Linked DNA regions of Kluyveromyces lactis. The protein of the gene in region 1 purifies or fractionates together with the protein of each later gene. This does not show direct contact. Links are inferred from orthologs where the notes say so. Each region holds a gene or a part of one and is shown on either strand. Other genes may lie near its edges.

Region 1 (4,229 bases):
TCATCAGAAACTTGACCATCAGATATGACAATCTCTTCGAAACGAGTTTCCCATACTCCATGGGTCTTCACCAAGCCTCTCTCAACGCTACCGAAGGAGAATTGAAAGCCGCTTGGTTCCATATGCATTTCTATCCACCATTGCTAAGATCGGCCACTGTGAGAAAGTTCTTAGTAGGGTTCGAGTTATTAGGACAACCACAAAGAGATTTGACTGCTGAACAAGCAGCAGATAGACTCAAAGCCCTAAGTGGTGAAGTACATTATTTAGCAAAACTTGAGCAGGAAGAAAGCAAAACTTGAGCAGGCAAAGCAGAAAATATCCGTATAGGAAAACTTATTTACAAGTTATACTCACATAAAATTTCCAAACTTAGTCACATTCGTAAGCTTTTAGATCCTACCTAACGTTACTTAAAATTCATATTCTAATATTGAATGCTGAACGACAGGATCTTCGTTGTCTAGAACAGAAATGATGTCTTCTTTAATTTCTGGTTCTGGAATGGACTCACTCGAATGATGATAAAGTATCAACAATGATGGCAAGGTTTTGCCATATGTGCATGTTACAAATTGTACCTTATCGCCAGATTCTGACAACAGATCAGGGAATTCCTTTTCTATACCCTTAATGGCGACTTTCTTGGCTATGACATCATGTGGATAAGAGTCTTTTGTGTTCTCTAAAAGCACCAATGCCATACTTGCTGCAACAGAATCTTTACCATTTAACTTAACATATTTTGTGAGTGCGCCCAGAGCCAAAGCTAGCTTACCAGTTCTCAAATGGAATTCAAATTCCAGCAAATGTCTTCTCGTATCATCAGTGGTTTGGGATAAATATAGTTTCAAAAATTGATTCTCGAATAATTCCAAAGGATTTGGATCATTGAGTAAAGTTTCACCAAATGGATCCTTGTCATCAAGGTAGGCAAGATACTTGGCCTTTTCTTCTTCCTTCTTTTTATTCAAAGCAGCAGCTTCTTTTTTGGCCTTTTTGTTGGTCTTCTTCTTGATAGAACTGTCATCATGCTCTTGTTCAACTGATGCAGTTAGTTGCAAAGAATCAAATCTTCCGAAAATTATCCTTGAAGCACCTTCCATAGCCCTAATAAACATAGGCAAAGTATAGAGGTGGTTTCCCCATTCAAGCATATTCACGTAGGCTCTTGGTGTCCCTTTTCTCATACAATAGGAGTGGAAATCTAATTGATCATCCTCAAATTGCTTGTAAATCTTAGGAATTGCCATATAACGTTTTAAAGAAAGGCCCTCAAACTTATTAACATTGAATTCCAATTCTTTTAGAAGTTTTCCATGAGATTCTATCTCATCAACGGTAAGTGCAGTTATATCTTTATTCTTCAAGCCGATTAATTCCTTGCAAGATTTTTTATACAATCTGAAGAAGCTCTCAGCTTGTTCGATAATGAACCAAGAGGCTTCTAGGAGGTGTAAATCTGGTACACCATTTGGAGATTGGTCGTTTTTGGTAAACAATGACACGATCTTAGTAGCCTCATCAATTTTATCAGCTCTTAACATGTATTTTACAGTCTTTGCATTAATAAATCTATCTTGCAGGTCAAGTTCGCGACCTTTATCAATAACTTCTGAAGCTTCTTCCAATAGCCCCAAATGCTTCAGGACTCTGGACTTGAGAATATATACCTCAACAAGAGTTGGAGTGTGGTTCATTGCTTTGTCAGCATATGCATTAGCCTGCTCGAACTGCTTTCTATGCAAATAATGTAGAGCCAAAAAGTAAGTTGTCCAAACAAATTGGATTGGTTGATCAGTCGATGATAGCTCAGCATAATAAGGTAATACAATACTTTCAACAATATCCGGAATACCTTCCTTCTTGTAAAGAGGTTTGATGTTATTGAATGTGGCTGGAACACCGCGATTTAACTGCGTTATGATATAATCATTGAGTTTCGCGGTTAATTCTACCTTATCTTTGAGGAATGTGAGCGGAATGAATTTAGGAGGCTCCGATTTAGGGTAAAATATAGCCAACTTTTCATATAAAGCTTTCCTCAACTTCTCATTTCCTTGAATTCCAAGTGAAACTTCCAATAGCCTGTAATATCTGAAATTGTCTGGACTTCTCTTAATCAAAGTTCTGTACACAATAGAGGCTTCCTTAGACCGACCAAGTTTCATTAAAATAGAAGCTTTCCTCTCTAACCAGCCATATCTATCATAAACATCGTCGGAAATCTTTTCCAAATGCTCTAAAACTCTTTCCAAGGATTCTTTATCGTTGCCTGCCTTCTTGTACAAAAGATCATTCTTGTACATGATACATTCGTTGTTCTCATACATTTCTGGTTCACCCAACTTGCCTTCAGCAAGCTCTTCAAATGTCGAAAGAGTATTGATTGCGTCTTGCGTACGCCCATTCAAATCTTGTGCTATGGCCAATGAGGTCCAATTGGCACGATATCCTCTGTAGTTTTCCCAGTACTTTTTTCTCGATTCCAGCGCGCCTTTGAAATCATGAATTTGAGATTGCAATGTCGCCAAATCTCTATAGATTTGAGTGTTTGTAGAACCATTTTCTAATGCGGCCTTGAACCACTTTACAGCGTCTGAGTAATTTTTCACCTGTCTGTAATAAATTCCTAATAAGTGTCCACCAATTGGACTTACAAGAGTGCCTTTAATTTTGGATAACGCTTTATCAATGTAACTAGCAGCTTCTTCAGGTGTACTACAGAATTGCAAGTTCAATCCCTTCAAAATTATAGAGTCCACATGACTGCTGTTCTTCTTCAAGATTGTGTCCAAGATCTTCAACGACTTCTTGTAATTTTTACCTTCATATAGTTGCAGTGCTTCCAACATATTGCTGTCATCCTTAGACCTACCAATTGGAAGTCCCACTTTCCCGTGAGATAGTCCCTTTTTTTTATACATGCTAGTGTAGATCAATGGGTCGCTGAGTGTAGATAAGCAAGCCAGTAAGAGTGTTTCTCCATTTATTCAGTCATGAATATGATTGTTGAACTTGATAATTTTCATGATTTAGACGTTGACTATTGTAAATTTTTCAGTTTAGAGATACATTGAAAATGAAATGTTTGGGTTTGAACGAACTGAAGGTAATAGTTAGCAAGCGGAGCTGGTACGATTCAAGGAGTTTATTACTCACCTACTGCAATAAAGTTAAAACATGTTGCAATCCAATGATACTTTTGATATAGTTACATACTCACATTTACAAATATTTTACGTAATTAAAGGGAAACAGCTGACACTTTTGAAACGTAGGGTTTCTAACGAGTTAATGTAAAGATCAAAAACGGAAGTCAGGCTCTTCTTCCACTTTCTGTTTTTTATGTAAGACATTATCATCGTCCTTCTCCTCTACGCTTGTTGATCGTTTGTTCGTAATATTGTAAGAGGTAGTGGAACTGATTATTGTAGATCCGTCGACTTCGTTTGATTTAGCTTCCGTTAGAACAGTAAATAAGGGTCTATTTTCATCATAGTGCTGGTTGACTACAGAGCCTCCATCAATTGGCACTAAGCCTGAATTATTGTTTTCATGTGTCTCGCTTTCTGTTTTTGTTGCTTCCGCTTCATTGGCGTCTGAAGACACCTCATCGTCGGAAATTGATTCGTTCAACGGATCTGGATCAATATGTGCGTCTTGATCTTCTAATTCTTCAAATGAGAACATGGCTCCGAATAAGTTTTGTTTGGGTATTCTCAAAGTATCTTCAGGGTAGTATCCGTATTGTGTACCGGTAAGATTAGAGATTTCCCAATTTATTCCACAGACTTTCATACCAGGGTATGATTTGGGTAGTCCTAATCTATTCATTTCATGACACCAAGGCGGGAGCATCCCCTCCGTGAGATTTAATGCCTCCCTTAAAGTTTCCGATAGATACCCTGGTCTATATCGTGTCTTTATTTGTTTCCATTCGAGTTCACTATCCAAACTTCTGTTTTCATAATATAAATCACCAAATGACAATAGTTCAGGTTTCCAATTCTTTCCCAAAGTGAAAAATGCTTCGTACAACCTTTTATAATCTAGATCTAATACACCTAGCTTGGGTTGAACTTTTGCTCTGGTAATATCCTTCAATTTCTCTGCTTGCTTTTCGTTTCCAGAGGGAACAGTCTCTCGCATCGTTTCAATATCGGTTTGTCTAATAATCTCAGGTAATTGAAATGGCTTCCTTTCCATCATTGATCGTCCAGATAAAT
Region 2 (3,430 bases), on another chromosome or scaffold:
GGTCAATTGGTTTGTGTTCGCTCAATGACTCCAAAATAGTGATTCTTGCCCATTCTGTACATTCGTTCAACACGTTCAAAAACCTCTTAACGTTTTGAGATACTAATTTCTTGATATCTATTGAACCAGGGTCCAATTCGTTAATTTCGTGCAGTGCGGCAAGCGCGTTGGCAACAACCATTGGATTATCGTCAGACAAAGCGTCTTGCAAATCGTTCAATACGCCCAATTCACGGCATAGGTCCGGGTTCAATTGGAACAATTTTGCAACGCATAGTACCGCGGTTCTTCTCACGTACGGATTATCATCGACTAGAGTCTTTCTTAGCGGAATCTCAATGTATTCCAAGATCTTATCAACTCTGATCATCGACATGGTACGGATTGCCATAGACCTAATCAATGGGTTCGGATCAGCTGCATCGCTGACGAATGTGTTCACGACAAGGATGCATAACTCCGGATGAGTTTCTGCATAATTAGCCACGTAAAGGTATACCAATTTCTTCTGTTCAATGTCTTGAGTGGCTATATTCTTCAAAACGTCGGGAAACAAAGATGAAACATCTTTGCCGGAAGTCATCTGTTGAATAATCTTACGGATCGCGTCCTTTCGGGTCTGTGGGTACTGAGATACTAATCCATTTCGTAGTTCAAACAATTCACCTTTATTGGAAATCTTAGGAGCCACTCGTATGGCGTCTCTTAAGAACTTCTTGATCTTCTTATCAACACCCATTGTTTCCCTTGGTATTTATGAGAAAGCAGAGCAAGCAATTGGCTGGAGGAAGGAAGACTAATCGCTTGGGGACAGAGTCTTGAATATAAACAGGTTCATCTATTTATATACAGATTCCAGTTAATTTGATTGATGTTTTCTATGAATACTGGAAAGTGAAAGCTTGCTGGCGAGGTCACGTGTGTGCTCACGTGTATCGGAAGATTCCGTAACCCGGACATCATATGATGTCCGGGTTACGGTATTGAGAGATCTCACTTCCTAATAAGAATGGTTACTACCTGATTAGGGAAATTGCTAAGGGAGATTCACACTTCTGCGTAAATTCTTACGCACCGCAGTGTGGTGTACTGATATACCCGACTTTTTATAAAAACACAGTCCTCAGAGTTGCCAGACCAAAAGATACGCGCGACACCCTTACACCATTCAGCGTACCACTCAGCACGCACCACGCACATTGAAAAAAAATTCTTTTCTAGCCAAAGCTCATCACTTGAATATTGAGAAAGTATTAAGAACTTGATATAACTTGCAAGAGTTTACTGCATTAGTATTAAGCTATCAGTTCTTGTTGATTGAAATTGTTATCTATTCTCTTCTTTTGATTCATCAGAACAACACATCTCAAGGAATTAACTGAAAAGAAATGTCTTCCAGCAATATTATGCTTGTTTTGAGAGGTACCCTAGAAGGTCACAACGGCTGGGTCACCTCTTTGTCTACCTCTGCTGCTCAACCAAACTTGTTGGTTTCTGGTTCCAGAGATAAGACTTTGATCTCCTGGAGATTGACCGAAAACGAACAACAATTCGGTGTCCCAGTTAGATCTTACAAGGGTCACTCTCACATCGTTCAAGATGTTGTTGTCTCTGCTGACGGTAACTACGCCGTTTCTGCTTCTTGGGATAAGACCTTGAGATTGTGGAACTTGGCTACTGGTAACTCTGAAGCTAGATTTGTTGGTCACACCGGTGATGTTTTGTCCGTTGCCATTGATGCTAACTCTTCTAAGATTATCTCTGCTTCCAGAGATAAGACCATCAGAGTTTGGAACACTGTCGGTGACTGTGCCTACGTCTTGTTGGGTCACACCGACTGGGTTACCAAGGTCAGAGTTGCTCCAAAGAACTTGGAAGACGGTGAAGTCGATGACGGTAGAATCACTTTCGTTTCTGCTGGTATGGACAAGATCGTTAGAGTATGTGCCAGACTTTTTTCTTTTATTGCATTGCATTGCATTGCCTATCTCCCGATTAGATTGATTTACCTTGGAATTCAGGTCCTCAGTTGTTTCCCCGTAATATATTCTCAAAATACATGGCTCAATTCACTATACTATGACAAATGATGTTTCTTATATTTGCTACTTCAGACGTAACCTTACATGGTTTCGAATGAGACATACTAATTATCACCAAGATCTCTGATGTCTTTTTAATTAGTGAATTAAAATTTTGAATTGAGTTTTGTGCATTTGAATATCATGGAGCGAGCAATTTGGGCCTGTATTCCCAGATATATCTCATGGCTTTGAACCAAATATCATTTTTACTAACAATATTTTGGGAATTATCTTCCATTCCCCTTATTAACTACAGTCCTGGTCTTTGAACGAAGACTCTTACAGAATCGAAGCTGATTTCATCGGTCACAACAACTACATCAACGTTGTTCAACCATCCCCAGATGGATCTCTAGCTGCTTCTGCTGGTAAGGACGGTCAAATCTACGTCTGGAACTTGAAGCACAAGAGCGCCTTCATGAACTTCGACGCTAAGGACGAAGTCTTTGCTTTGGCCTTCTCTCCATCCAGATTCTGGTTGACCGCTGCTACTGCTTCTGGTATCAAGATCTACGACTTGGAAAACGAAGTCTTGATCGACGAATTGAAGCCAGAATTTGCTGGTTACACCAAGGCTCAAGACCCACACGCCGTTTCTTTGGCTTGGTCTGCTGATGGTCAAACTTTGTTCGCCGGTTACACCGACAACGTCATCAGAGTTTGGCAAGTCATGACCGCCAACTAAGTTGTAGCAATTTAAAATCTCTTAATTTTGCTTTTATTCCCTACAATTTATTCTTGGTCGTCGTCATTACCAATAAATCATAACATAAATCCCTTATGTATATATTAGTTATACAAAAACTTACATTATAATATTAGATCTCCCCTCGGTTAATCTGTCTTATAAGAGTTCCGATATTGTTATCTTAGCTTATTATTATGTTTTCAATGGTTTCTACCTATACATGCATAATATGCATTTCGGTTAGGCAAAACCGTGGCACAGGGCTATTCCAAGGGCAACCCGGTACCTTAGCTTCCCTTTCTTCATATCACCCTTTCTTTCTCTCTCTTCCTGGCGAAAACGCAGAAACTCGTACTCTATCTATAATGGCAATTCTATTTACTTTTTGAACTTTTACCGTTCACTTTAAACCTCTTTGCAAAATATTCCGTTTCAATTAAAATTTTTCATATTAACAAACTTAAACTTACATTAGCTTAGGTTGGACTGGACTTGGTTCTTCTACTGCTCATATTGTTTTTGTGTATTCAGATTATATTTGCTACTGTAAATTGTAAATTGTAAATTAAACCATTTGTTTCTTTGTTCGTTTTAAAAGGTACAAGAATATCACTCTAATATTTACAGGACAGATCATATCCAAAAATTATGTCATCTT

What was found. The genes of interacting proteins can lie anywhere in the genome.
Region 2: the proteins of NAT1 (region 1) and ASC1 purify together in Saccharomyces cerevisiae (affinity purification with mass spectrometry; 4 studies listed by BioGRID). This does not show direct contact. The link is inferred for Kluyveromyces lactis from reciprocal best matches to the Saccharomyces cerevisiae genes NAT1 and ASC1.

Annotation. Positions count from the first base shown.
Region 1 is NC_006042.1:787,553-791,781, forward strand, and holds NAT1 (peptide alpha-N-acetyltransferase complex A subunit NAT1), read right to left. Parts: upstream 2,928-4,229; coding exon 414-2,927; downstream 1-413. Other genes in the region: GAL7 (UDP-glucose:hexose-1-phosphate uridylyltransferase), read left to right, coding at 1-302; U2 snRNP complex subunit CUS1, read right to left, coding at 3,307-4,229. UniProt on the Saccharomyces cerevisiae protein: Non-catalytic component of the NatA N-terminal acetyltransferase, which catalyzes acetylation of proteins beginning with Met-Ser, Met-Gly and Met-Ala.
Region 2 is NC_006041.1:1,085,390-1,088,819, forward strand, and holds ASC1 (40S ribosomal protein RACK1), read left to right. Parts: upstream 1-1,388; coding exon 1,389-1,940; intron 1,941-2,081; exon of another isoform or gene 2,082-2,173; intron 2,174-2,340; coding exon 2,341-2,769; downstream 2,770-3,430. Other genes in the region: APL2 (Apl2p), read right to left, coding at 1-739; HEK2 (Hek2p), read left to right, coding at 3,421-3,430. UniProt on the Saccharomyces cerevisiae protein: Component of the ribosome, a large ribonucleoprotein complex responsible for the synthesis of proteins in the cell.